Drosophila melanogaster: one gene and its partners. The protein of the gene in region 1 interacts with the protein of each later gene in a pairwise test. Each region holds a gene or a part of one and is shown in the gene's direction. Other genes may lie near its edges.

Evidence for each region.
Region 2: the proteins of prc (region 1) and CG4998 interact in a two-hybrid assay, tested with the Drosophila melanogaster proteins (one large-scale study listed by BioGRID).
Region 3: the proteins of prc (region 1) and Scp1 interact in a two-hybrid assay, tested with the Drosophila melanogaster proteins (one large-scale study listed by BioGRID).
Region 4: the proteins of prc (region 1) and Gfat2 interact in a two-hybrid assay, tested with the Drosophila melanogaster proteins (one large-scale study listed by BioGRID).

What each region holds. Positions count from the first base shown.
Region 1 is NT_037436.4:11,959,274-11,968,477, reverse strand, and holds the start of prc (pericardin), read left to right. Parts: upstream 1-2,346; 5' UTR 2,347-2,425; intron 2,426-3,236; 5' UTR 3,237-3,300; coding exon 3,301-3,372; intron 3,373-3,614; coding exon 3,615-3,673; intron 3,674-3,739; coding exon 3,740-3,843; intron 3,844-3,905; coding exon 3,906-4,070; intron 4,071-4,126; coding exon 4,127-7,429; intron 7,430-7,483; coding exon 7,484-8,024; intron 8,025-8,088; coding exon 8,089-8,214; intron 8,215-8,584; coding exon 8,585-9,204. Other genes in the region: Muc68E (mucin 68E), read left to right, coding at 1-898.
Region 2 is NT_037436.4:16,336,190-16,345,476, forward strand, and holds CG4998 (uncharacterized protein), read left to right. Parts: upstream 1-2,813; 5' UTR 2,814-2,959; intron 2,960-4,246; 5' UTR 4,247-4,254; coding exon 4,255-6,027; intron 6,028-6,415; coding exon 6,416-7,297; intron 7,298-7,604; coding exon 7,605-7,903; intron 7,904-7,968; coding exon 7,969-8,572; 3' UTR 8,573-9,052; downstream 9,053-9,287.
Region 3 is NT_033778.4:2,964,283-2,970,157, reverse strand, and holds the start of Scp1 (sarcoplasmic calcium-binding protein 1), read left to right. Parts: upstream 1-2,105; 5' UTR 2,106-2,174; intron 2,175-2,813; exon of another isoform or gene 2,814-2,841; intron 2,842-2,966; 5' UTR 2,967-3,011; coding exon 3,012-3,063; intron 3,064-5,875.
Region 4 is NT_033777.3:28,336,206-28,342,528, reverse strand, and holds Gfat2 (Glutamine:fructose-6-phosphate aminotransferase 2), read left to right. Parts: upstream 1-2,763; 5' UTR 2,764-2,982; coding exon 2,983-4,659; intron 4,660-4,861; coding exon 4,862-5,236; 3' UTR 5,237-5,510; downstream 5,511-6,323. Other genes in the region: Moca-cyp, read right to left, coding at 1-50, 110-249, 315-344, 1,070-1,157, 1,791-2,094.

The sequences.
Region 1 (9,204 bases):
TCCTGAAGGGAGCACCACGAGAGACGACACAACTGTTGCAATCGAGACAACTACCGAAAAACCTGAGGATGATACTACGGCAGAAGGTTCAACACCGATTCCTGACACATCTACTACTGTTAACCAGGACACAACAACAGACGAAAGTAGCACTGTTGTGACTACGACGAATATTCCCAAGGAGAGCACAACGTTAGGCGATTCTACCCTATCACCGGGAGAAAACAGTACTGCAGGACAAGTTTCTACAAGTACCACGCTAGTATACGATACCACGAGTAGTCCAATTCCATCTTCCTCAAGATCCACAACCTTAGAACCCTCATCAAGTTCTTCCCCTGAAACCACAACTTCAAGTCTACCACCATTGTCTTGCAGTACCGGGTATCAATATTTACCCCATCCAACAAATTGTCATAAATATATTCACTGCAGCAACGGGCATGAACTAATTATGGAGTGCCCAGCTAATCTTTATTGGGACTATCATAAATTTGTTTGCAGTGGAGATTCAGGTGTTTGCTACAACGACACTGAAAATTCCAATCCAGAGGAGAAGGTTTGCGGACCTGGAGTGGATTTCCTTGCACATCCAACGGACTGCACCATGTATTTGCAGTGTAGTAATGGCGTGGCATTGGAGCGCAAGTGTCCAGATCCGCTGTATTGGAACCCGGAGATAAAGTCATGTGATTGGTCCAATAAATATTGCACAAATCTTCGGGCGAGTCAATCGATTTCTTGCGCAGCGGGCATGAATTTTAACGTTTTTCAAAGCGATTGCTCCAAATATGTCAAGTGTTTTGGCCTGAGAGGTGTTGTAATGAGCTGTAATTCAGGACTTTACTGGAATCCCGTTAGTCAAGTTTGCGAAAAGTCCCGGCGATTCTGCACATAAGAGTAAGTCCAATTAAAGTAGACAAAATTTTAATAAATAACATGCGGACACTTTTTTTCAGGAGCAGTGCAACGGCATTATTCATTGGACAATATTTACCTAAGAAATGAATAAAAAGATTGCGAATTATTAAAAATTTATTTATACTGTGGAAATTACAAATCGATTAATTAAAGTTAGCAAAATTATTAATATAATGAAACAGAAACTGAATGTTAAATTCCTATTGTTGTATATAAAAAAAAAAAAACACATTCAATCGCATTTTTATTTCACTGGGGTTTTTTTTTTAGATGATCTAAATAGATATTTTTGGATGCATGCAAATTTATTTCAATAGACTGAGACACTTTGGTAATGAACTACCCTATTGTTATAGAAACAAAAGGTAGTCTCAAATTCATCTCAAGGTGTTACAAAAAATTGGTCTCAATATAAATTCTTATTACGATGTAATAAAAATTTCATAGCACTTTATTCCCATTAAAATTGGAAAACAAGGTTAAAGATATTTTTAAGTGCAATTGTATCTAGTAAAATAAGTAATGGGTACACTGTAGCCGGATTATTTGCTTTCCACAGTTCCTAGGCCTTTTTCGTAGATCTTATCAATCTAGGTTTCAATTAAAAATATTACTAGCCTTGAAACACACCCCATACAGACGATGGGTATTCAAAAATTGAAAATTTAATGCTTCAGTTCAATTTAACACATGGTTTCATAGAAGCTCTTAGCAGATAAGGGTATAAAGCCGAATTCAACATTGAATGGGGGCTGGTAGAGACTGCTCTATATATAGATATGACGATGGGTAGTCTAAACAGAAAGCGAAAGCAAATAGTTAGTCTCAAAGGTTATCTGATTAAATTACTTCCGCCAATTTTTGATTTGTAGAAATAAATAAGTGGCTTGGGAAATCCAAAGCCCAATCGATAAAGCCTTCGCCAGATGCAAAGAGAGCACATACAAGTCAAGTGAATGAGTGTGGGCAGGGACACACTTGAAATGTATCCAAGAGATACACAATTGCGTATCTTTATATGCTAATAAATGCCAGTACATTTCCCTAAAATGGGTCAAAAGAGTCCCCCATCCGTTGGCATAGACTACGATGTTGTAATGCCCATAGAAACTCATTTGTCGAGGGGGACGTCAACGCGCCGCCCCTTCCATCGGCAGGCCAAGCCAGACCAAGTGATCGATTGACACGATCAAAGCGCTGATACGTAATGGAATAGACACTCGAATGAATAGCACTGGCGACGAGCTCCCAGCTCGGGCTCCAAGTGCCCTGATCCGCCTCACAGATACCAGCACTCTGCGCTGGTGTGGATCCTACATAAATATTCATGCTGGCCAAATGCAAATGTATTGGAAATTGCTCGCCTTCAATGAATTTGAGTTCTGCTCAAGCTCTAGAGTTTTGATGCTCGTACAGGGCAGCGTTATTCGCAATCCAGCAGTTGTCGCGATCGGAAGCAAATCGGAAAATCTCCATTGGATTCCTAGAACACGCAGCCGAAAAAGTATGTGCCTAGGATGTGTGCCCTCGCAGCAAGGACATAGAGCAAAAACAGCTCTCAAATACAAGGGATTAGTGAAGAAATAAGATAACAAAACATCCTATTAATTGTGCATTACGAAACGGATTACAACTTGTAGAGTTTTATTTGATAAAATTTAAATGTGAATTTCTATATGCAGTGAAATTGAAATCAACCAAAATACAGGACCTTATATCATTAGTAAATGGTCAAAAAGAACAATAAGTGTGTAAATTATAATGTGTGCAAACTAAGAATCTTGTACTAATCGAATCATTGACAACATCTAAACACAATTATGTGAAGATTAAATTTTCTTCCCAAATTTATTAAATATTTCTATATTCAAATATAAATATGTACATTCTGTAACAATTCATATTCGCCAGGATAATCACACAATTATCCTTTCGAAGTGTAAAGTGCTTATGTGACTTTCTTGTATTTTTTACATATAAAAATCAAAATAAAGATGTGAAAAGCGAAAGATATCAAAAAGGATATGTACATATGTATGATTTCAGACTACAAATTCAAACACGTTTGTGTCAAGAACTAAAATTCGAAACTTACATTAATCAGCCTTAGCGATTACATCACTCGCAAGACTGAAATATAACTCAAGATCGATTGCCTTTTTTTTGGCATCTAATAGCACAGCGTGCGTGCTCATTTTAAAGAAAAGTGATAACCTCTGAAAGTGACGGACAAGAAACACAGAGAAGGAGTATAAACTAATAATAACACGCATCTATATGGTGTATTGATAATACAATTCAATTTCATCTTACAGTTTGCTGGTTGTGTTGCCGCGACGTCGACGCCTTTCAATTGGATTCAGGGTTTAATTTATTGAAATGTTGCCCTTTCGCTTGGGCCTGCTACTTGGCGCCGTGCTATTCGTGGCAAGCGCAAATGGAGCTGCCATCGTAAGTTTCCGAATTGTTAATGAATCTCCCCGAGAATTGTTGCTTCTCTGTGTGTGTTGAATGGAACTAGAGTAGTGTAATGTAAATGAACTCGGTTCGAAAAGTAGGCGATAAGACATAATTTGACCAAGGTCAGTTTCTTACAAGCAGCATCTAATCGGGCACACTTGCACAGACCCTTTGAATGAATAAAGATTAGACTGACATTAGCATTGAATTTAAATCGATGTATTAACTTTCAGGAAAATGAGGTTTCTAGTCTGAACGACTTGCAGCGGGAAAAGAGAAGCGGCAGAGGCTAGTAAGTAGTTGGTTAACAACTATTTTGGACCAGATGGGCTTACTTCCTTTCCATGTTTATCCGCAGTTCGAGGGGACAAACCCAGTCTCAGTACTTAAATTTCGGTAAGCCTGAGGAGGATGGAAAGGCTGAGGCAGAGGCTACCGAAAATGGATCTCGCTCCACTGTGTGTGAGTACGGGTCAGATGAGATTCATTAGCACTTTGTCCATTGACCTCTTGACCTCTTTCAGCTGGCACCCATGGAATGGGTCAGGCTCAGAGCCAGTTCTCATCAGGGGACTGCAATGGATGTTCTGGCTACCAAACGGATTACCCTTCTTCAGGCAGAATTCTTGATGCTAGTGGATCCGGAGGCATCGGTAGACCCGATTCCATTATAAGCTTACCCGGAGGTGGTAAGTCGTATATAATCAAAATGTATACAGTTTGATATATGTTGCTCTCCCTGAAGTTGGCGGACAAACCGGAGCTGGACAAGCCGGATACGGAAGCCAACTTGGAGTTGGCGCTCAGGCCGGTGCCGGACAACCCGGATACGGTGACCAACCTGGAGTTGGCACTCAACCTGGAGTCGGACAGCCCGGATACGGAAGCCAACCTGGTATTGGCGGACAGACTGGAGCCGGACAGCCCGGATACGGAAGCCAACCTGGTATTGGCGGACAGACTGGAGCCGGACAGCCCGGATATGGAAGCCAACCTGTGGTTGGAGCTCAGACCGGAACCGGACAACCCGGATACGGTGCTCAACCTGGAGTTGGCACTCAGACTGGAGCCGGACAGCCCGGATACGGAAGCCAACCTGGTATTGGCGGACAGACTGGAGCCAGACAGCCCGGATATGTAACCCAACCTGGAGTTGGAGCTCAGACCGGAATCGGACAACCCGGATACGGTGCCCAACCAGGTATTCTTGGACAGACTGGAGCCGGACAGCCCGGATACGGCAGCCAGCCTGGTATTGGCGGACAGACTGGAGCCGGACAGCCCGGATATGGAACCCAACCTGGAGTTGGAGCTCAGACCGGAACCGGACAACCCGGATACGGTGCCCAACCTGGAGTTGGCACTCAGACTGGAGCCGGACAGCCCGGATACGGCAGCCAGCCTGGTATTGGCGGACAGACTGGAGCCGGACAGCCCGGATATGGAACCCAACCTGGAGTTGGAGCTCAGACCGGAGCCGGACAACCCGGATACGGTGCCCAACCTGGTGTTGGCGCTCAGACTGGAGCCGGACAGCCCGGATACGGAAGCCAACCTGGTATTGGCGGACAGACTGGAGCCGGACAGCCCGGATACGGAAGCCAACCTGGTATTGGCGGACAAACTGGAGCCAGACAGCCCGGATATGGAAGCCAACCTGGGGTTGGAGCTCAGACCGGAGCCGGACAACCCGGATACGGTGCCCAACCTGGTGTTGGCGCTCAGACTGGAGCCGGACAGCCCGGATACGGAAGCCAACCTGGTATTGGCGGACAGACTGGAGCCGGACAGCCCGGATATGGAAGCCAACCTGGGGTTGGAGCTCAGACCGGAGCCGGACAACCCGGATACGGTGCCCAACCTGGAGTTGGCGCTCAGACTGGAGCCGGACAGCCCGGATACGGCAGCCAGCCTGGTATTGGCGGACAGACTGGAGCCGGACAGCCCGGATATGGAACCCAACCTGGAGTTGGAGCTCAGACCGGAACCGGACAACCCGGATACGGTGCCCAACCTGGAGTTGGCACTCAGACTGGAGCCGGACAGCCCGGATACGGAAGCCAACCTGGTATTGGCGGACAGACTGGAGCCGGACAGCCCGGATATGGAACCCAACCTGGAGTTGGAGCTCAGACCGGAACCGGACAACCCGGATACGGTGCCCAACCTGGAGTTGGCACTCAGACTGGAGCCGGACAGCCCGGATACGGAAGCCAACCCGGATATGGAACCCAACCTGGAGTTGGAGCTCAGACCGGAACCGGACAACCCGGATACGGTGCCCAACCTGGAGTTGGCGGACAGACTGGAGCCGGACAGCCCGGATATGGAACCCAACCTGGTATTGGTGGACAGACTGGAGCCGGACAGCCCGGATACGGCAGCCAGCCTGGTATTGGCGGACAGACCGGTGGCGGACAACCCGGATACGGAAGCCAAATTGGCGGACAGACTGGAGCTGGACAGCCCAGCTATGGAAGCCAACCTGGAGTTGGAGCTCAGAATGGAGCCGGACAACCCGGATACGGTACCCAACCTGTTATTGGTGGACAGACTGGAGCCGGACAACCTGGATATGGAGGTCAAACTGGAGTCGGTGGATCGCCTGGATTTTTAACTCAGCCAGGTATTGGGGGTATAAGCGGACCGATTGGAGGGAAACTCGGTGGCGGACAATCAGAAGCCGCAAAACCTGGATATTGGGCTCAACCTGGAATTGGCGGACCATCCAGATACGGCAGTCAACCTGGAATTGGTGATCAGACCGGAACCGGACAGTCAGGATACGGCGGGCAGCCTGGAATTAGCGGACAGACCGGAGGCGGACAACCAGGATACGGAGGACAGGCTACAATAAGCGGACTCCCTGGGTATGGCACTCAGCCAGGAATTGGAGCACTAACCGCTGTTCCTGGCGGACATTATGGATACGAAACTCAGCCTGGAATTGGTGGACAGACCGGAACCAACCAACCCGGATTCGGTGGTCAACCTGGAATTGGCGGACAGACTGGAGCCGGCCAACCTGGATATGGATTTATAGGTCAGCCTGGTATTGGAGGGCAAACAGGAACTAGTGGAAGGCAACCCGGTTACGGAACCCAACCAGGAATTGGCGGACAGACTGCAGCCGGACAGCCCGGATATGGAAGCCAAACCGGAGTTGGCGGACAGATCGGAGCCGGACAGCCCGGATATGGAAGCCAACCTGGAATTGGCGGACAGACTGGAGCCGGACAACCCGGATACGGTGCCCAACCAGGTTTTGGAGGACAACCCGGATACGGAAACCAACCTGGAGTTGGCGGACAGACTGGTGCCGGACAGCCCGGATATGGAAGCCAACCTGGAATTGGCGGACAGACCGGAGCCGGACAACCCGGATACGGTGCCCAACCAGGTTTTGGAGGACAACTCGGATACGGAAACCAACCTGGAGTTGGCGGACAGACTGGAGCCGGACAGCCCGGATATGGAAGCCAACCTGGAGTTGGCGGACAGACTGGAGCTGGACAACCCGGATACGGTGTCATACCTGGATTTGGAGGACAACCTGGAATAGGCGGACAGACCGCCGCTGGAAAGCCCGGATACGGTGGTCAACCTGGAATTGGTGGATCACCTGTGTATGGAACACAGCAAGGAACTGGAGGTCAATCAGGAATTAGCGGTGGCCAACCCGGGTACGGAACTCAACCTGGACAAACCGGAGCCGGGCAACCCGGATACGGAAGCTTACCTGGAACAGGTGGTCAGGCCACAGCTGGCCAACCCGGATACGGACCCGGATCTCAACCCGGAATTGGCGGACAGACAGTTGGTGGGCACGGTGGATACGGTAGCCAACCCGGAATCGGTGGAGCGCCAGTTTATGGAACACAGCCAGGAGGTGGCGGCCAAACTGGAGTCATTGGAGGGCAGCCCGGACAGATCGGAGACAGAGTAGGACAACCAGGATACGGAACCCAGACAGGACAAATTGGGGCACCAGGTCGATATACAGATGGAAGTCAAACTGTACCTGGTGCTGTTGGCACCGGTGGAGTTGGTAAGTAGCTATCAAGGCGGTGGAAAACAATGTTTTGAATTGCTCGTTTCCCAGTTGCTGCCGGTACCAGCGGAGCTGACGATGCCTTCTCCCAAGCCGAGTCATCAATTGGCGACGGACAAGCGTCGGCAAGTGCTCAGGGCAAGAAGAATGGAGGCACGGCCAAGACTCAGGTGTCGGGAACTTACAGCTCCGGCGGAACCTTTAGCGCCAGTGCAATGACGTCCGATGCTGATCGTGCGGCCAGTGCACAGGTTACCGGAAATGCTGATGGAGCCGTGAGTCAGTCTCAGGGATCGGGAGGTCCTGCCCAGTCGCAGGCCCAGGTACAGGTTGCCAAGGACGGCGGCACCAAGGCCTCGTCGCAGAGCGGTGGCATCATCCAACAGAGCCAGAGCGAGGTTCACGCCAATGACAAGGGCGGCCTGGCGGACGCCCAATCGAGCGGACCCGGACAAACCTCCTCCCAGGCCCAGATCGGTTTCCGACCCGGCCAGGAGGCCAATCCTATAGCAGCTAATGGTGGCGGCCAGGCATCGTCCTCATCTGGCACTCATTCCAGTCAGAGTAGCTCGCAGATTCACGGAACATCGAGGTAACATTGCTATAGGATTATTGATTATTGACTTTAGCCACTCATTATTGGTTTTGTATTTCAGCTTTGGTGTTTCTTACCATGGTGCTGCACAATCCGCGTCGGGAACCAAAGAGCAGGTTGCTACTTACAGGGAAGCAAACAGGGAACTCTTCAATACCATCAGTCAGTTTGGCAACAACGCAAATGCGTAAGTAATCGGAAAAGTGAAGAAAGAAAGAAAAACATGTTTTGGGCTATTTAAAAAAAGGGATAACGTATGCTTCTGTGGTTTTTAAATTGGCAAAATATGTTCAAAATTGATTTCGAAAAGTCACACACTTTAGCTCAATCAATTTATTGTGATTTTATAACTGCCATGCCTTTATGGAATTCTTTAGCATAAAACGTATTCATTTTTGTATACTTTTTGAGGTTATTTATGTTGGATACATAAACGAATAAATCCTTTAAAATTTCTAACTACTTTTGCTTACTTACTTTTCAAATGGGAAGTGCGTGCCTCTGTAAAATTTATACGATTGTATTTTATTTTCTTTTCTTTAACTTTCAACTTCCAGTGTTACTGATCGAGCTGATGCTGTCTACAGTGGACCCGCGCTTACTGATGAGTCCGACAGGGTGCCAGAGGCGCAACTGAAGTCCACCAAGCCCAAGGAGGAAGCGGAGCAGGTAGTGAGTAAGCTAGACCACCCGGAGCCCGTTCAGTACGATGATGAAGATGAGGCCGATCCTGATGAATACGATGAGGATGAGTACTATGAGGAGAAGCCAGTGAAGCTAGAGGAATCCCCAAAGTCGTCCACCATAGTGGCACCAACCGAGGCAACACCTAGGCCCAAGACCTACAACCAGTCATCACCCACGCAAAGCCAACAGACAGTCGTGGTGCCGGTGCCGGGTGAAAAGTATCAGGTGGTGCAAAAGCAGAACGGTAAAGCCACCATCAATGCAGAGCCCTCGACCACCGAGGCCATACCACCGGGATTCCGAGGAACCGTAAATGTGGAAAAGAAGTTCCACACCAAGGCCCTGGAGCTGCACGCTCCCAAAGGAGTAGAGATCACACCCGACACCAGCGACGAGGGTCCGGTCCGGGGTGACAAGCCGCTACGGCGTGCTCCTGATAGCTACGTCACCGTCACCAAGTCAGTGACAGGCAGCATGGACAACACAAAGA
Region 2 (9,287 bases), 4.4 Mb from region 1:
AATGGGGTTTCCCCAAGGCCCAAAGCGGTTTAAGCCGGCAGCAGGCAATCAAGAATTGAATAGGCCAACAATGCGAGACCAAAAACTTCAGTTCGGTTTTCTTGGGATTTTCCAGCGGCGGATTGGCGAATACTTTTTGGGCAAATCCATGGCACAATTGCAGATGCAGTAAAAAAGCGAAATGCAATTGCAGGCACTGGAAAAATTGTTATGTTCCAAATATATAAGTAAGTCAGAAAAATGATATAGTTAATTAGTAAAGTACTTAATCGTCTATGATTATTTTTAATGTTTGGAAAAAGTGCATATCCGCTGATATGTATCAAAAAACAAAATTCATAATTTATTAAAATATATAAATTAACAAATTAATAATTATAAATTAATGTAAGGAGCTTAAACTAAACCCAATATAATATAAAGATATTTTCTAACTATCTTATTAAATTTCAATCGCCTTACTACAATTTTGTGTGCTGCTTTGATTTTATTTCCCCTCAAAAGTTAAGCTCTAAATCCATAATCGATATACGATGTATGTAGTTGGCTTAAAGAGATTGGCAAATTGTCTTTAGCCAAATGGTGCGTGTGGGTGGAAGACCTCAACTTGTTGAGCAATTGACACAAATCTAAGTCAGGGAGTCGGCACTTCAGCCTTGAGCCAGTGACAATATTTATTTTTTTTTATTGCTTTTGGACTTGAACTGCGACAATTTGGTGTGCGAAGGGGTATAAGAGAGAAAGGTATGGTGAGCGAAAGAGAAGGAGAGAGTGATTCAGTCGGAGGAAGCTAACAAAGTAGAGCAAACACGATTCCCACACAAATCCATTTGGACAAACAATTAACAAGTTGGCCATAATCAACATAGGCTATGTTGTAATAGTGCGGCCCAAGAAATGTGCAAAATGTTGGAGCGCACCATAAATAGATATGAGTATATACCAAATCCGAAATGCAGATCCAATAACAAGCCCCTGAACCTGTAACCCCATCGGATTACAAACTGTCCACCTGGCATTAGTTGTCTCCGGCGAGGTCCAAGTTCAAGTTCAGTTCATCACTCACTGGGATTTACCAATAGCCAAGTTTCAGCTAACTACCAAAATTATTTTTATCAGGAAAATCATTGTAGATAGCAATTAGCCGCATTCGTAGATACACTGTAATAGATGAGATTAAATTAAAACTTATAAAAACGTATAAAATCAACACATTATTTATATTGTTCTGCAAATATCAGGTTGTTTGAATGTTATCTAAATATTTATATTTAAATAAGATATGAAGCTTTTAAGACCTAATGAGTTATTAATCATGTATGCTAGTTTTCAGACCAGAGTATAACAAACGAAAATAGATGTATTAGTTACTGAAACGTACATTTAAATAAGTTTGATATTTACATTCGGAAAACCCTTTATAGATATTATATTAACAATGTATTAAAATCGATTTCCATCTTATTGATGTACCCCCAAAAAAAGGTAAGCCAAACGGAATTAAAAACGATGCAAAATAAGGTTCGTCGCACCTCCTTCGAAAAGCCCAAAGTGCTCGATAGTATGAGTCATAAAAAACCCGATGGTCAAAAACTACGCCACACGCTACGCTGATTGATAAAAACTTCGTGAATTAATCGCGAGCAAATAGCCAAAAGGTGTTTGGCAAACAGCCCAGAGTGGCGACAATAACAACTCCCGAGAAAAATCAATGTGATTAGCATAATTTTCGAAGCTCTGTTGGTCATTATCAACTTTCTTGGAATGCTTAACATAAAACGCCACTTAGGTGGGGGCTAGATGAACGACTGCAGCACATCGAACCAAGGTCAGTAACACAAGTGGAAGCCACTGGAGCCACTGAATCACAATGAGACTCACTCCGGCCGGGCAGCACTGACCATACACAACACAAACGCAAACCTGATAATGATTGGGATTTAAGGTAGTGGCACGCGAACGTGATCATCGTGAATAAGTTTGGGGGGAATGTCTCTAATTTTTATGAACTTCGGGTAATTCCGCCAAGCGCTTTTTACTCACAGTGAGCTAGGTTAAATAAAAAAAACGTTAAAATAAACGAAAATGAAACGAGTGACCGAGCGATGACGTTTGCATTGACCATGGGTTAAAAACCAGGCGATTTGAACTGAACTGCAACCAAAAAGAGAGGCAGATGTATGAAGTAAAAAAAAAATGGGGAAAGATGAATGTATGCCAAAAGATCCGGTTTGAGGCAATGCCCAATTTTACCCTTTTTCACGATGTTTTTATTATTCAGCGGTTGCTACTCTCTGACCCAATTCATAATTGCAGAATTGCATAATCCCGGTTTCTCAAGCAACGCCTTTCCGGGAAGCTAAATTTGGTTATTTAAAATTTGGTAAAATCATAAAAAAAAAAACAAAGCCCCATTTGGATGTTTAAGACAGTCAGTTATGTTTAAGAGATGTGTTGAATGTGATGATAGTTTCTGGGTTTCTTACTGATAATGAAGCTATCATAGTGATATTTCCGCCTATTTCCGCCTCGTTTACTGACCTCCAGTAGTTGGGCAGAATTGGGGATTTGAGGAAAAAACCCAGACGAAAAATCAACACTAACAGCGAAAAAGAGGGGTTGCCAAACATTGTCGCCGTCGCCGCTTTTGTATCTTTTGTTTTGGGCTACCGATTCGCAAACTAAGGCGGTATGAAAGCTAGAAGAAGACGGAATCAATGCAGACAGAGACAGCGAAACGTTGGAGCTTGACGTCGACGGCGCGCATGCACAGCTTTTGTATAAAATGTGCGCGGCCAACGAAAGCGAAATCAGTGAACGATCTGCAGAGCATCGAAGAGCACAATCGGTGCAGAAAGTGAATGAAGTGAAAGGATAAGAGACTCAGTAAATTGCATAAGGATTATCCGGACAACAGTGATAACTAACCAATTGGATTAATAAACTTGACACAAAAAAGGTGAGTGAAGTGAGCGAAATTAGCAAAGTGAACTCAAGTGAACCGAAAGCGAACTAATTTAAATGAATGGCTATTAGATGTGAATTATGAGTCTGCAGCACATGAAATTATGGTTGTTGCAAATATGCCTACATACATACACTTAATAAAAACTCTTGGCCAAGAGCCTCCGCGTCATTAAGCCAATCGAACAAGCGAAACTTTCACTGCGAACACAAAGGAAAAACCTAAAAAAATTTCCCAAACCCAACCAAACGGCAGTTAGCATCGCTTACGAGCACTTCTCGCCAAAGAAAATCCAAGCGAAAAAGTTGCCGGCAATTTGCAATGCAACGCTGCGCACAACTTCCGGCCGAAAAAGCAGGCCTAAAGAAATCCAAAGATACATTTACATAACTGGAAAATATATACTTGAAAAAAATCATAAAAAATAAAATATAACTCGAAATTGTAGTGTGTAATGCCGCTCTAGATGAATCAGATCTGTTTACATAATCATTTAAAATATAAATATATCTTCTTACTTAAGCATATAATTCCGAGTGGCAAAATTATAATTCTGGCTATCCTATTAGTTACTCCTTAAACCAATATTACATTCATAATTGATTTTTTTGTTAAGTGTAGCCGATCTTTTACAAAATCCGCCCTCGCTGTGAGCCGGTGACATAACTGCAATGCAAACGACCATAAAAATAAAGGCTGAAAAGAAAAGTGAATTTTACCAAATAAAAGAGACACGAAGCGGAAAGCGGCTGTCAGGGCGAGAGATCAAGTTGAGCGATGGTCTTCGGTGGGATTGCAGTCGTAGGCTTGCTAAATCTGTAGGAAAATTACCTCATAAATTACGGGGACCTGAAGCCAGCGATCCCCTCGCCATCCCGACTCGCATTTCGAGCAAAAGTAACGTACAAAATCAGGCAATTAAGTGCTACGGTCTGCGACCTCCAATGAAAGTAAAAGTCTTATACGAGAGTCTGAGTCACGGTGAAGATTTCGTGATGCTAACCGGTTTGGGCTTCGGATTCGGTTTTGTTACGGATTGGTTAAGCCAAAGATGGTATGAGGGATCGGTGGCTAGGTGGAGAAATGTAAACTGGCACAATGACTTGGGGTAATGGTGTCAAGCTCGCCACTTATGTCATAACCAATCATGACTAAACCTCTTAATTTATTTTCCACTCAAAAGAAAAGGCGACAAAGATGGTCAATCAATCACTTGATTAATATATCCGTAGATATTAGAGAATTGGTATCCTAAAGTTTTTCTATCTAATCATTTCACAGGCTTCACAATGAGAATAAGAACTAGCCTTTTGGCAGTTGTACTGCTGGCCACCGCCTCCTTGGCCGAGGAATCCAACTGGGGAAATGAGTGGGCGCCCATGGAGGATGCCATGCCCAGTCGCCGATCTGTCGATACCAAGCCCGCCGAACAAGCTGACATTCAGGGACGTTACCTCGTCCACGAGTCCATCCAGAGCAACAGCACCACCCAGATTGACGAGGTCATCGAGCAGCTGATCAACTCCCGCCGTGAGGGTCGTAATCTGGGGGAATACGATGCCGTCTATGCTGATGGCAATATCGATCAGGCTCTGCAGCAGGGAAACGATATGCAGGCCCGCAATCTTATCCGGGATAAGCTGTGTGGATTGGGACTGATGAGCTGCGATGTGGAGGAGAAGCGTCCCTTCTACTCGACCATCTATGCCCAGGGTCCCCCACCACCATCTGGTTTCAGCGGTGGTCCCTATGGTCCGGCTAAGCCCATGCCCCCACCAAGCTACTTCAGTGGTCGTCCACCAATGGGTGGACCTCCTGGATCTTACGGACCTCCGCCAAGCTCCCTGAACTCCTTTGGACCTCCGCCCAGCTCCGTGAACTCCTTTGGACCGCCAAGGAAGGTGGGATACGAGGGACCATACAAGCCAATGTCTGGACCTTACAGGCCATCTGGACCCGGTGGCTACCTGGAGCATCCTCCACCATCCGCCATTGACGGTTCATCCGACGGTATCACCTACACGAAGCCACCACCCGGAGCCCTGATCTATGACAGCAAGCCACCAGGACCCATCTACACCGGAGGTCCTTCTCTGGGAGCTGGACCCGTTTTTACTGGTGCTTCGAATGGAGTTCCTCCATACAACTACGAGAACCCCGAGGGTGGCATCCAGGGTGCAAGCTCTGCTCCCAATGGTTTCTACTCGCAGCAGTCTTCAGCTTCTTCCGCCTCGGCCACATCCTCCAGCACCAAAGTGGTGGTTGGAGCACCGCTCGATGGTCTGCAGCAACATGTGCATCATCATTATCACCATGTTGAAGGTGGCGAGGGAGCAAAGGTTCCCAGTGTGCCAATTCCCATCGGAGCTGGCCAGACCATTAACACCGACTTCAGTGCCCTGGCCCAATCATCTGCCACATACACTCCCTCCATTCAGACTTCTTCCGGATCCAGTTACTCCCAGTCCAATGCCTTCAATGCTGGCTTTAATGGTGCTTCTCAGGGTGGACTTCTTTCGCAGAACGGTTTTGGAATCTCCCAGAAACCCACTGGAGATCTGTACAAACCAAACTCTGGAGATCTCTACAAGCCCAACTCAGGACTAGGAAACTTTGGCAGCAGTTCCTCTGGAGGATTCAGTGGATCGCCCAGCTCCAGTTATCACAGCCAGAATCCCGACTACTACAAGAAGGAGCTGCAAGGTGGAGCATCCAATCAGTACAATGGCATCTCTGGTGGTTACCAGGGTCAGGGTCAGTACCAGAGTGGATATGACACCTCGCGCCAGCAGATCGTCGACTGCCAGTGTGTGCCCATCTCCCAGTGTCCCGCTGCCGATCGCATTGGACGCAAGGAGGATCTCATTCTGCCTATTGATCCCCGCAACCTGGGCAAGGACATTGAGGCTCTGAGTGACGATGCTCTATCCAGCAATGCTACCACTACTGCTGAGGCTAAGAAGGACGAGGAGAAGGCGGACAAGGATGACAAGAAGCGCACCCGCCGCCAGGCTGATCAAAAGGATGACGAAGCAAGCGATCTCTCACTCGATGCTCAAGGGGTAAGTCCATAGAAGTCTATTAGTTTAAGTAGTGCCCAACTAATGCCAAATCACACATGGTTCACATGGACCACTAATCGAGTTTTAGCCAAGCTCCTCCCTCCCACACACACACACATTCAAATCAAACAACAAATCAATCAGTCAATCAACAAATCAAACCAATCTGACAACTGCACCCATCGTTCAACGCTCCAAGCTCAACTAAAATACCAGAGTGCAAATCGGTTCCGATTAGACCAGTCACTAATCCCAGAACTAAACCAGCTAACCAAGCACGACCTTTGTGATCGCACGCCTGCAACCCGAAACATGCAACCTGCAACCGGCAATCAGAAATGGAACTCCACCTCTAGCGTTCTTATGTTTTCCCCTTACCAACAAATAGAGACAGTCCCCGCTCGGAGGATCTCCATTGGCATTGCCCGCTCTCCAGGCCATCGAGCTGATCCAACGCAAAGTGCTGCCCACCTACGGTGTCAGCTTTGGTTTGCCCTATCCCACTGGCGGGTATGGAGGTTATCCCTCGAATATTCTGGGTGATCATGTGCCCGCTCAAAACCCGTACTTCGGTTCGGTGGGTCCAAATGGTCTGAATCTGGGTCTGGTGAATGTGAATCCTCTGGTATCGGTGCAGGTGGCCAAAACAGAATATGGCGAGAAGGTGGTGAAGCCACTGGTCAATCTGCATGTCACTCCCAATGCGAATCTCATTCAGAAAGTGGGAGACTTCTTTAAGCGGAAGCCCACCGAAGCGTATAGTACACATTACCACCATCACGATCATTATAGTGGCTATGAGCACCACGATTACGATCACCATGACCACCACGATCACCATGACCACCACTCGTATCCGCATTTCTATGGAGGAACTGGACCGGGTCTCCATTTCAGTGTGGAAATGGTCCCAAGTACTCCCATATTTGAGTATCACAGTGGGCCTTCTGTTCAGTATCATCACCACCACGAATCGTCTCCCTACGAGAGCTCCTTCAACTCTATATATCCCGGATCCAGTCCCGATTTCGGGGGCTATGGCGAGTACTCACAGCATGTGGAGCGAAGTGCCAATGTGAGCGGTGGTGATACAGACAGGCCATCGAATTCCGGTCGTCGTGGCAAACAGTTGAACCTGGGACCCCTCTACAACATTCCCACTCCGGCTCCTGGTGAGGCAGCTGGCAGTGATCGGATCACTTTCCCACGGGATCGCAGGCGCAGGAGCGTTGAGGATGGTGTGTGGGCGGGAGCAGCTCCTAAGGAGCAGGTAACCATGTGTGGCTAAAGCATTAAAGTTCATTCGAAAGCGTCAATAGAGTACTAAAGTCCATAACTACAAAATTGAAAAATTTCATGAGAAGTTCAGTCCCAAATTATGTAACTATTTTGTAAAACTTTTTAAGAGTCAAAGAACCCCACATTTTATAAATATTCTTAATTGTTTATTGATTAAATCATTGATGGTAATTAGGAAAAGTTATATGGCATTCAAAGTACATTTCAAATCCAGATAAGATTGTACCCATTCCTCCAACATTTATCTAATTGCGATTGCCTTCCTTGATATTTTCCAGCGTGCCTATTATGGAAACCGACCCGTGGAAAAGACCTGCCGCATCAACGAAGTCTGCTGCCGTCGTCCACTGCGTCCCCAGGCTCCTCCCCAGCAATTTGGTCGTTGTGGAGTGAGGAACGCCGCTGGAATCACCGGTCGCATCAAGAATCCCGTCTACGTTGATGGAGACAGTGAGTTCGGCGAGTATCCCTGGCATGTGGCCATTCTGAAGAAGGATCCCAAGGAGTCGATCTACGCCTGCGGTGGCACGCTCATCGATGCCCAGCACATCATTTCCGCTGCCCATTGCATTAAATCGTAAGTTCTAGAGTCATAAAAGTATATTTCACCAGAGCATTAACCAATTGCTTCTTTCTATCCAGTCAAAATGGCTTCGATCTTCGTGTGCGTCTGGGCGAATGGGATGTCAACCACGATGTGGAGTTCTTCCCCTACATTGAACGCGATGTGGTTTCCGTGCACATCCATCCCGAGTACTATGCCGGCACTCTGGACAATGATCTGGCCGTTCTGAAACTGGATCAACCCGTTGACTTCACCAAGAATCCGCACATTAGTCCCGCCTGTCTGCCCGACAAGTATTCCGATTTCACTGGAGCTCGTTGCTGGACAACTGGATGGGGCAAGGATGCCTTCGGCGAGCACGGAAAGTACCAGAACATTCTGAAGGAGGTGGATGTGCCAATCCTATCGCACCAACAGTGCGAGTCCCAGCTGAGGAACACGCGTCTGGGCTATAGCTACAAACTGAATCCCGGATTTGTGTGCGCCGGCGGAGAGGAGGGCAAGGATGCCTGCAAGGGTGATGGCGGTGGCCCATTGGTGTGCGACCGGAATGGAGCCATGCACGTGGTCGGAGTGGTGTCCTGGGGCATTGGATGTGGTCAGGTGAACGTTCCCGGCGTCTACGTTAAGGTCTCCGCCTACCTGCCCTGGATCCAACAGATCACCCAGAGCTATCAATGATTAACGGATCAGCAGACTGACAAGGAGGAGGTGACTGGCTACCATGCGAATATCACCGGATCCGTTCCGGTTGACACCTCCTCCGATGAGTTCGTTTTCCACTTCTGACCGAAGCCATCTTTCAACACTCTCGCATTCCAACTACCGACCGAATCGTTTCGATAGTGGCATTCGTCATCGTATTTATCACTCTTAGTTATTACGGATGTCTCCTTGAATACCTGTTATATTTTGTTATATATATGATTCACTTCCCTTCACTTCACTTGTTGACCCACTCATTAGCTACTCACAGTTGTTGCTCAATTGAAGACGCACTGGCGTCGCGTCACCTTGTCACTTCTTTGATATTAATTGTAACGCGAATCTTGTACACCGAGTTCCGATTTTGTCTTGTAAAATAGTGTTTGTCATAACTTATTTATTTATGTATTTGTAATAAATAATTATGTATTTAAATAAAAAAAAAATAATTTATATAAAAATTGTGTCATTCATAATGGTACTTGGGTGGGGAAACTACTAATGTACAATAAGTTAGTTCGTTATCAAAGGGTTTTAAAATCCGCACATATGGAAACTGGTCTAAAAAATGTTTTCAAAAAGTATGGAGAATCAGCAATTGTAGTATGCATTGGTAAAAATATGCTTATAATATTTTTACCTTGATAAAATGTTTGTTTCTAAACCCTTTAATACCAATACACAGCAACGA
Region 3 (5,875 bases), on another chromosome or scaffold:
AGTTACAAAGGAGCGACCATTAGAAGTATTCAGAAAAGTGACCCAAACTCGGACCAAAACGAAACAGCCAGACAACACATTTTGAAGACTTATCAAACAGAAACCAGACCTCGGAAATCATAATAAAAAGAAAAGGGAAATACGTAATTATCAATAATAATAGTTCTTAAATTGGCTAGGTCCCAGGTGAAAATACATAGCGGCCACTCCAGATCACGATGACCTGGTCATAATAGAGCAGAGCTCATTGACAACAATAACCAACAAGTCATTGTTTACAAACAAGAAAGAATAAACAAACTGACTACAGTATCTAAAGCTCTAACAATTTCTATACAAAAGGGCAGTTCCGTTCGTTTAGAAATTGCTCTTAGTTTACAAACCCAGATTAGACTCCTAAAAGTAGAAACTGCCATCCAGTGGGCGCGACAAGAGGTCGTAACACACTAGTACTAAATGAAGATGAATTAATTGAAATAGAAAGAATATTTAAGGGAAACAACATGTTATTACTATCGATGAAAGAAGCTATGGCGTTTTCCGAGGTCTCTATTCTACATAATAAGACAACACATTTGTACATCGTAAAAGTCGCAAACTTTATAGAAATACTAAGATATCATTGTAAAACCAATAGTTAAAAACAACAGAACTACAACAACTTAGACTTTCAAGAAATCTTTGCTTTCGAAAATCTTACCTATATATACATATATAAATATGCGATGAGAAAAAAATTGTAAATATAAGAAATTAATTAATTAAATTAGTTGATTGCTCTCCAAATTTAGTTCTGGGAAAGAAAGATCTGTGTAGTTTTAGCAACTCCGACAACTTATCCAGAATGGAAGAGGTCGACGACGGAATCATCCTATTAAACGATTACGATGGAATCATATCCTGGATCCTCACAGAGCTTCACCTACTTTGTTTAGCTATCAAACGACTCGATGATTATCGACAACAGGGGGATTCGCCAACTTGGAACCTACAGCCCTGTCTCCTAGTTCGCCTCTTGTACAATTTACAGATGAAGAAAAAGAAAGACTGAGGTTATATCTCTTGAAACACTGAACCGTTGCATATACATAAAAGGCCAACAGCATAACCCTACTGACGCTCTTCGACAATACTCTGATTATCATCCTGGGCCTTCACACCTATAGTCAAAGGAAGAGAAGCATAAACTTGCAGCTTAGACCTATACCGGGAATGGAAACAAAAGTTAACATCAGCTACCTCAGTTCAATAACATTCCCTACATAAATTAGAAAGTTAAAGTTAATAACAATGAATTCAACATCGGTCTACAACAGAATGTAATAGAGTAACAAACCCCAAATATGCAAGCTCAGCGCCACCAAGCAGATTTCCCAAAATGTGTTTGGCAATTGTTTCCGCTCCCACCAGCGCTTGTGATTCCAAGAAGCCGACGTCGATCCTCTGCCAATAAGGACAGCACAGCCGACAGCTAAAGACTCGCAGCTTATAAAGACGATGTTCTCACTTAAGTTTATAGTCCAACTCTTTTAATGCTCGTTACTCATAGAGTAAAAGGGTATACTAGATTGGTTGAAACAGGCAGAAGAAAGCGCTTCCGACAATAAAATGTATATATATTCATGATCAGGATCAATGTATCGATTTGCAAAAAAAAATTTTGCCACGCCTACTCAAACGCCCCAAAGCCGACAAGCCGGTCACCCCCGCACTTTTGAAAAATTGTTAGATATTTTTCATAATTTTATTGGTCGTGTATATTTCTATTGATTTGCCAAAAAACTTTTTGCCACGCCCACTCAAACGCCCTAAAGCCACCAAACCGGTCACGCCCACACTTTTTTAACAATTTTTTATTTTTTTTTCATTTTATTTTTTTTCTAATATCAATCAATCAATCGATATCAATCGATTTTCCAGAAAAATTATGAACTTTCGCGTTAGCATTGACCCTAGCTTAGTTACTGGTATCTGATAATCAGGGAACTCGACTATAGCCTTCTCTCTTGTTTTATATTATTATACCCGTTACACGTAGAATCAACGAATCTAATTTTACTCTACACGTATGGGGCATAAAAACATATATATATTTTCTTATATGTATATATATTGTTTTTATATAATATTATATCTTAACAGTAATAGACAACTATAGACCGCCGATCACAATGGTAATAAGACATAAAACTGTACATTTGAATGTTGAATATTGTATCTCCTATATATGTATATGTATATGTACATAAAACCGAAAATAAGAATTGTGAGTTTTATAAAATGTGTGCTTTATAATAGGTTATGCATGTACTATAAATATATACTTGTGAATATACATGTGTGTAAGCTTGCAAAAATAGTAAATATTTTTCTATTAATAATCATGTCAATTAATTATCAATTCTTTAAATGTTAAAATGATTTTTGATATATTTTACTATTAGTGTTCAAATACAAAATTAAATAGGGGTGAATTGTTCGCTTTTTTTCCATTTTAAATGGTTAATTAGAGCATAATCTATATGGAAACTTTCACGAATAACATTGTAACAGGTAGGCTTAATATTTGGTAGTAGAAAACTGAATTGTTATTGATTGTGATTTCAAAACAGTGCTATAGTTTACTTAATACAATAATTACATTTAGTACAATGGAAACTCCTAATTAAAAATAAACTACCTTTTGAAAGAGAACAAATATATACAAATGCACTTTCTATACAATACACATTTGTATGTATAATGTTTAGATACATACCATGTAAATAATGTTGCCAAAGTGTACGACTTTTGGCAAAAGGTTTAGCAAATTTAGTTAGTCTGAAGTAAGCTATTCCGAAGGTAAGGAGCTCATATTTACTATTCAAGAACTTTTTACCTAAAAGTACTATTTATAGATACCAAAAAATTTTAATTTATTTATAGACTTTTATTAGTTCAGATAGTAATGGTATTTCTACTTTTAGCTATTTACATTTTATGAGGATAAGCTCCAAACAAATTCCGTCATAATGGCTTATTCCTGGGATAACCGTGTCGATTTTGTCGTTCGGTATATGTATGGTGAGTAGAAAAGGACTTAGGCTTATTAAACGTATCCTATAGTGAATTAAAATACCTTAAAAATTTACGTATATTTTATACAAAAAATTTAAGTTTATATTCCATTGCATTGAATACATAAAGCCATTTTTATACATATCTTCGGAACTATCCGAAATCCGATATTTTAACAATATATACATTTTATTTTAATTTTATTTAATATGGGACGACTATATCATATAGCTGCATTAAGAACTGCTTGAAAATTAAACACCCAAAATAGAATATAAATAAAAGTTTCGTTTTTTAACACTATGGGTGCTAAGTAGACATATATGTTTTTGTAATTACTGAAAGGGTATTTGGATAGGATTAATCAAATTTGCAAGCGCACAAATACAATAAAAATAACATTTACAATTGCTGCGGATCAGATTTATGTAACAATCTCAAGTCTGGCAATTTAAATGTTGCGCCATATTTATGATGTAGTTTTATAATCCGTTAAAATGAGGTCACATGGAACCGGTCAAGTGGTCATTGCAGCTTATATGAGGTTAAGCCAAAGACATTTGAAGAACAAGATGCGTAACGCCATACAATTTTTTGCACACAATTTTATCGGGATGGCTCCAGAGGTGGCTCAGCAGTTCTTTTCTACGCATACAGTGACAGCCGACAACTGTATGGTAATGCATTGTAAATTTGACAATTTACAAGTTCATAGACTTTACATCTGTATTATCTTTGTTTAATTGGCAACATGTAAAAAATTCTTGGCTTGCATGGCCTTAACCAAAGACCCTAGTGTCTAGTTTCTTTGCCTTAACTATATTATTATTTGAATATATATGTACATAATATCACAAAATAAATTTCAAAGATGACTATATTAGAACAAAGGTTATTAGGGCGTTCACTTGCCCCTTGTGAAAAATTAATAAGGCAATCATTGTTGCAATAAACGTGTTCGTGTCTCAAGATATGACTTTTGCAATAAAAAGTTTTCATATTTTTATTCATTTTATAAATATTTATTTTCTACTACTTATTATTTTTGTGAAATATCTTTTCCTCAATGTAATGACTTCTTTTTGGAAAAGTTATGTTTTAATTTAAAATTTTATTATTTTATTTTATTATCCGTTTGATTAAAGCTGACTATACGCCGAGCTTCTCTATTTTTTGAAAGTTTCGCTATATAACCTAGTTTATATATTTAATTAAAGTCGTTTTGTTGCAATATCGTACTTTAGGTGATATATTCAAGGTGTAAATTCGTAATTATTATTTTATTTTATCATATTGCTAAGAAATTGGGTATACTAGGGTATACTAGACTCGTTGAAAAGTATGTAACAGCCAGAAGGTAGCGTTTCCGACTATATAAAGTATATATATTCTTAATCAGGATCAGTAGCGGACATGTCCATCTGTCCGTATGAACGTCGAGATCTCAGGAACTATAAAAGCTAGAAGGTTGAAATTAACCATACAGGTTCTAGAGATAAAGACGCACACTCATTTTTTCATATTTTTATTAGGCTTTAAAATTTCTATGGATTGGCCACAAAACTCTTTGCCACGCCCACTCTGACGGCAGGTTACAGCTAGGTTATGTTGATCATTAACCGAAATTATATTAGGCTAAGTTAAGCCGAGCTTTAAATCTCTCTAAATGCCTATGGGACTCTTGTGGACTCCAAATGGCAACCTCAACTTCACTTGGTCGTAGGGAAAATATTTCAGAGTGTTCAGACAACACGGTTTTCGAGTGTTCGCTTGGATCTCCAATCGCTAAGCTATGAAATCACTGAAATCTATATTCATTGTTAATGGTTTACAATATTAATCTTTGTGCAAATTAAAAGTGTTCCTTTTTAATTATTTGAACAAAAAATTTTTATTTTATTATAATTTAATATTTTATTCATGATAGACCTTTTCACTTATACTATTACAAGACATTCTTTTTATCTCTTGTCTTAAATTTAAAACTGTTCACGATCTCGTCCCGATTCAGACTGATCTTCTAAATATTAATCCTAATCCACTCAACCTTGGCCAGAAGCTTTTCTTTAGGATTTTCTTGAACTGTAAAATATGTTTAGGGTAAAAGCTTTATACTGAAATTATTTCACAGCATTGTGAAATTCAAATTTGTTGACTAGTGTTTACTTTAAGTTTGGTTATTCATCGGGTGGCTAAGTGATGGCGACTAAACGAGGACAAAGGAAATGCTGATGAGATTGGAGTTTTAAATTTGTTTATCAACTGGGTCAGAGTGCTATATTTACGGGTTGGATAACTTGCACATTTGTGCTTTTAAGTCAACTCGCACGTCCACGACGGTTGCGAGTTTCTTACAACTGCTGCTTCTCAGCGCTTGACATTTAAACGATTGACATGTGAGAGATAGCGGGAGCACAATACTACTGTTATAAGCTGGCGGTACAATATATACATTTACATATAAATGCAGTGGTTCATACAGATGCTGGGTTTCTTTGGTTTTTGGAGCATTATCTACGGCGTAGGTAAATCTGGGCGCAGGGTCGAAATAATATTTTCGAACTTACGGCACGGCGGCAACATTTTATTTGTCGACTTAACACATATTAATATTTCTCCTATTTGTTTTCCATAAAAAAGATAATCTTTTAAATATTTATCTATTAATATGAAAATTTATTTTTGTAAGGATAAGCTAACATAATAATGGGAGGGTGAGTAGCCAATTTTAATGGCCCACTATAAGTCTAATGATTCTAAACTAGAAATTGTTCACGTTACAGATTGATTCAAATTCATTGGGTAATCACCGAATTGA
Region 4 (6,323 bases), on another chromosome or scaffold:
TGAATCTTCGGTGGCCGTGGAGCGCCTCTTGTGCTTCTTCTCCTTTTTGGCTATGTGACGAGAAGCATGTCAAGTATAATGGATATGCGAAAATGGATTACAGTCGTACCCTTTGTCTGTCTAACTAGTTCACCGCAGTTGGCAATGGCTGCATCCTGCAGCGGGCGTGAGTTCCGATCGACAGGCAAGCCCTCCAATTGGCGCACCAACTCCTGACCGGATATAACTTGGCCGAATACAACATGGATACTGCAACGAGAAAATATGACGCTATTAATCTGTTGATCTACTTAACGTGTTCAAAGCTAACTTACTTGTCCAAATGTGGCGCAGGCTGTGTTGTACTACAATGAGAAACAGAAGAAGAGAAAAATATTCTTTACACTTTGGCTAACTGGTTGTTGGGCTGCAGTAGGCAGTTGTAGTTGAAATCGGTGTTGTTGTTGTTGTTTCAGTTGTTGTTGTTGTTATTGTTGTCGGTTGTGGCGGAGACAATGTCATGTGCAACAAAGTTTAAAGGTTTCTAGGTGTGTAGGCAGAGGTGGCACACAGGATTTTGGCAAGCCACCAACCGCAAGAGCCGCTGCCGCTGGCCATGGCCAGCACATTGTCATCTGGCAGATCCATCGTGAGGATCCAGCCCAAGATTCCCGCAAAGATCCACAAGGAGCCGACAGCGAGAGAGAGAGAGATTGAGACACACACTGAGACCCAGGCCCAGGGACCAAAGACCATGGAGCTGAAAGACCTGCATCGTCTTTCGCTTGGTTTTTGGACCCACAGACCAAATGCACTAGGGATGCTGGGATGGCGGTGCATCGGCCGATGGAGGACAGATTGCGATGCATCTGTCCGCTGGTCAGTGGGACGCTAGCTCACACTTTAACGCCCACGGGCTAAGGCTAAATGGCAATAGATTAATGAACAACAACAGTGGTTTAAGTATAGATCAAAAAGAAGACGAAGAGAGTTTAGCTGTAATATCGGTGCCTGAAACAGAACTGAAACTAAATTTACGGCCACGTTAGTCCGGACCAGCCGGTTACGGTCCTCCGTCGAGAGCACTTACATAAAGAACTGCGAGCCATTTGTGTTCTTGCCCCGGTTGGCCATCGACAGCAGGAAGGGACGATCGTGCTTCTTTTCGAAGCTCTCATCTGGAAAGAGGAATCGGATTGTTTAAACCAAATTCACTTTAAATGTTACTTTAAAGCCCAAGAGAGATGAGCAACTCAAGTTATCTTCTAGATAACTTTTTAATGCGCATGTAATTGGATTTCCCAAAGCCGCTTCTATTTGCATATTTGTCCCATTTTCCACCCAAACGTATAATTAGCAATATGTAGATGTATGATGTGCACCATTCCCTTATCTTTCTAATGGAAATATTTGCCAAAATGTAAATTTAAATTGAGTCGCTTGAGTAAACATTTATTTTTGACATTTAAATGGGGCATTTGTACACTTTGGCTGGCATATCAAAAGCGTTTTAATTTTTTTCGACAAAGATTAAACTTAAGTAGATTATTGTAGTGCAGTTTAGATGTAATTGGCTGGAAGTTTTTAAATCTCCAAATGTGGGTGTCTGTATTTACAGTGTTTTTATTACATTTCTCCCCCTACTGACTCTTTATTAATTGCACTTTAAGTACCCTGTATATTCCCTTTCGTTTTCTGTTCTTCTTATCAGATAACCACTGTATTGATTTTTTCCCACACAAACAGCAGCACACACACACAAGCGTGTATGTATGCATGCAGGCATCGAATCGGAAGCCGGAAGAACTCACCCTCGAACGTCCCGCCGTAGATGGACTCGCCGCCGGTGCCGTTGCCCGCAGAGAAGTCGCCCGCCTGGACCATGAAGTCCTTGACCACCCGGTGGAATATCACACCCTTGTACTGCAGCTTCTTGCCGGTGATTAGGCCAAATCCCTTTTCGCCCGTGCAGAGTGCGCGGAAATTTTCGGCCGTTTTGGGCGCCACATCGTTGAAGAGCTCGAAGACAATGCGGCCCATGCCCAGGCCGCCCAGGGAAATGTCAAAGAAGCACCGCGGTCGCGTGGCACCCGCGTCGCGTTTGTTTACCGTCATTATATGCGCCGATTTCTGCCAATAAATGCTGTTTAATACGTATTTCACGCCGTTTTCGAGTTGCACAATGTCGGCGTTGCCAGCTCTACTCAGAACTAGGGATGTCAAAAACATACAGTTAGAAATATCGATGTGCAATATGCTTAGCATATTTTCGGGTATCGATATATTAATTTTAATATATATATTTTCTTAAATTTGTTAATACATACATATGTACGCTCAAATAAACGGTAAACTTTGAGCTATATATAGTCAAAATACACCATTGATTACTCTCAGCAACCAATAATCATTTTATGCTTTTTGGTATAACTTCCAAAACCTTTAGAACATGGGTTGAAAATATTATCTTCAATGCTCATATTTTTGGGAAAAACAGAATGTCGTTTAAACCAACTATGAAATGAGATCTGGCCTTTATGGTCATATTATATTAAGCTTTTTCAGACAATTTACACAGTTAACATCTTTGTATATAGCTTTAAAAGTTTATTATATTATTCAATACATAGTAAAAAAATAATTTATTAAATTACCGTTCCATCCCTGGCTGCAATACGGTCACACAAAGCCAATGTTTACATGGCAGCTCGCGTGTGGCTGTAGCTGTGTGCGTGAGCGAGAGCGCAAGAGCGGCGCGTGTGTGCGTGCGAGCGGGAGAGCAGGGCGAAGACGTGTTCTTTTCGCCGAAAAAGCAAATAATTGGGTTGGTTTATCAGAGAAAAACAAAAAAAATTCCAGCCAGTGTCGCGATAAAAACACGACAATCGCATTGCAGCCGCCTCAGAAGTGTAAGATCAGCCTCAGCTGACCGGAAAGTTAACATTGCGACGTGGAAAACCACGAATCACCAGCAAATTTCAGCAAAAGCAATCGCATTTCAGAATGTGTGGCATATTCGCGTACCTAAACTACTTGACGCCCAAGTCGCGACAGGAGGTCCTGGATCTCCTGTTGCAGGGACTGAAGCGGCTGGAGTACCGCGGCTACGACTCCACGGGCATAGCCATCGATGCGCTGAACTCTGGCGAGGCACAGTCCATAATGCTGGTGAAGCGCACCGGGAAGGTGAAGGTGCTGGAGGATGCGGTGGCGGAGGTGTGTCGCGGCCAGGACTACTCGCTGCCCATCGACACCCACATAGGCATAGCACACACGCGCTGGGCCACCCACGGTGTGCCCTCCGAGGTCAACTCGCATCCGCAGCGATCCGATGAGGATAATAGCTTTGTGGTGGTGCACAATGGCATTATAACCAACTACAAGGATGTGAAGACGCTGCTGGAGAAGCGCGGATATGTATTTGAGTCCGACACGGACACGGAGGTGATTGCCAAGCTGGTACACCACCTGTGGCAGCAGCATCCTGGCTACACTTTCGGCGAGCTCGTGGAGCAGGCCATTCAGCAGCTGGAGGGCGCCTTCGCCATCGCCTTCAAGTCGAAGCACTTCCCGGGCGAGTGCGTGGCCTCCAGGCGAGGCTCACCGCTTCTGGTGGGCATCAAGGCCAAGACCAAGCTGGCCACCGATCACATACCCATCCTGTACGCCAAGGCCCATCGGCCACATGGTCAGCCGCAGCAGCAGGCCTATCAACTATTGCCGCCCGGCGATTGCAACGCCGAGTTTCAACCGCTGGAGCGCAAGGAAGTGGAGTACTTCTTCGCCTCGGACGCATCGGCTGTTATAGAGCACACGAATCGGGTGATTTACCTGGAAGATGACGACGTGGCCGCCGTCAAGAGCGATGGCACGCTCAGCATTCATCGCCTAAACAAATCATCCGATGATCCGCACGCCCGCGAGATCATCACGCTGAAAATGGAGATCCAGCAGATCATGAAGGGCAACTACGACTACTTTATGCTGAAGGAGATCTTCGAGCAGCCGGAATCCGTGGTCAACACCATGCGCGGCAGGATGAGGTTCGATACGCAGACCGTGGTTCTGGGTGGCATCAAGGAGTACATACCGGAGATCAAGCGCTGCCGCCGCTTGATGCTAATTGCGTGCGGCACATCCTACCACAGTGCGGTGGCCACCAGGCAGCTGCTGGAGGAACTGACCGAACTGCCCGTTATGGTGGAACTGGCCTCCGATTTTCTGGACAGAAACACGCCCATTTTCCGGGACGACGTGTGCTTCTTCATCTCCCAATCGGGCGAGACAGCGGACACCCTGATGGCGCTCAGATACTGCAAGCAGCGAGGAGCGCTCATCGTGGGCGTTACCAACACGGTGGGCAGCAGCATCTGCCGCGAGTCGCACTGTGGCGTCCACATCAACGCTGGACCCGAGATCGGAGTGGCCTCCACGAAGGCCTACACCTCCCAGTTCATTTCGCTGGTTATGTTCGCCTTGGTCATGTCGGAGGATCGTCTCTCGCTGCAACAGCGCCGCTTGGAGATCATCGATGGCCTATCGCAGCTGGACGAGCACATTAGGACTGTCCTCAAGCTGAACTCGCAGGTGCAGCAGCTTGCCAAGGAGTTGTACGAGCACAAGTCGCTGCTCATTATGGGCAGGGGCTTCAACTTCGCCACCTGTTTGGAGGGCGCACTGGTAATCCATTTGATAATTTGAGCTATAATTTAATCGAATCTCATTTATGCATCGTAATGCATGCATGGGAACGTAATGATGGAAAATAACCGATGTCAACAATTCACTTAACTTGTTTATTTGCCAAGTGCACTTAAATTAATTATTATGTTTGTCCCACGCTTCATGAGCTGAATTTAATCAATTAACTTGCTCATTGCAGAAAGTCAAGGAGCTGACGTACATGCACAGCGAAGGAATCCTGGCTGGAGAACTGAAACACGGACCACTGGCCCTGGTGGACAAGGAGATGCCCGTGCTGATGATCGTGCTGCGGGATCCGGTGTACACCAAGTGCATGAATGCACTGCAGCAGGTGACGTCCCGCAAGGGCAGACCGATCCTAATCTGCGAGGAGGGCGACAACGAGACCATGTCCTTCTCCACGCGTTCGCTGCAGATCCCGAGGACCGTGGACTGCCTGCAGGGCGTGCTCACGGTGATTCCGCTCCAGCTGCTGTCCTACCACATCGCCGTGCTCCGCGGCTGCGACGTGGACTGCCCCAGGAACCTGGCCAAGTCGGTGACCGTGGAGTAGGCGCCCCAACTATCTGGCTAACTGGCTCGCACCGTCTCAAGAATTCCATTTTAGTATCTGCCTGAGAAAAACAAAACAAACCCTAGCACTTAAGTTAAAATTTTCTGGTATTTTGTCGGATCAAAATCCGAACCCTTAACCCATTTGTGCTCCTTCTGGCTGAAGCCACATATGTTTAACCCCTACATTTGTAGCTGTACTGACCCTTTGTGTTGTGGACCCACTACTTTTTGTGAATGTGCAATTGAAATATAATTATTTCCAGTTTTTCTTTAAAAGTGTTTTGCTGCTTTCAATTAAAAATGGATTGGAAAATGTTTAACCAGTAAATTTGTTTGAAAACGGGAAAAACCAAACAAAGATCTATATGTACCTCACTTTACAAAAAATGCTTATCTGACATTAAACATTTGTTTCAAATGTTTAAAAAACGAGGGCCACGTCACGTTATTGCTTACGTTATGTTAATCACGTTGTAAATTTTAGAAAAAGAAAAATTACATATATATTTAATTCTGATAAAACTAAATAAAAATAAATTCTGATAAAAATAAATGATATTCCGAGCACTTAAGTAGTGTGAAATCGATAAGCCGCATAAATTTGAATGTCCTATTTTCAATTTCAAATCAAGTGGTAAATGGGGAAAAAATAAGTTTGTTCTCGAAAAGTAATTCTTTCTGGAAGATATTTCAAAATCATATTTAAAAACAACATTAAATAAATTAAATCAGTTGCGAGCCGGTTGGGACATCTCTATTAACCGTAGCTATCACATCGGTCGATATCTATCGCAACGCAACGCAAACGAATTGAACAACAACCCTGCTCTTTTTCTTTTGGACCCGTAGAACCACATGTCTGGTAACCGATTTTGATTTTCGTTTCGGCGGTATAATGCTCCAATTAATTGACTAATTGCGGTTAATTGACAAGACAAGTGAACGGCGCAAGTACGGTGCAACCAATAACGCAGCGAGTGTGTGTGCAATTGCGAAAAAACCCGATAAATAATATTCGTAACGTTCTGCCCAGCAGCGCGTGAGTGAGTGCGAGCGAGAGGCAGTGATTCGAGGTGCGTAGTGGT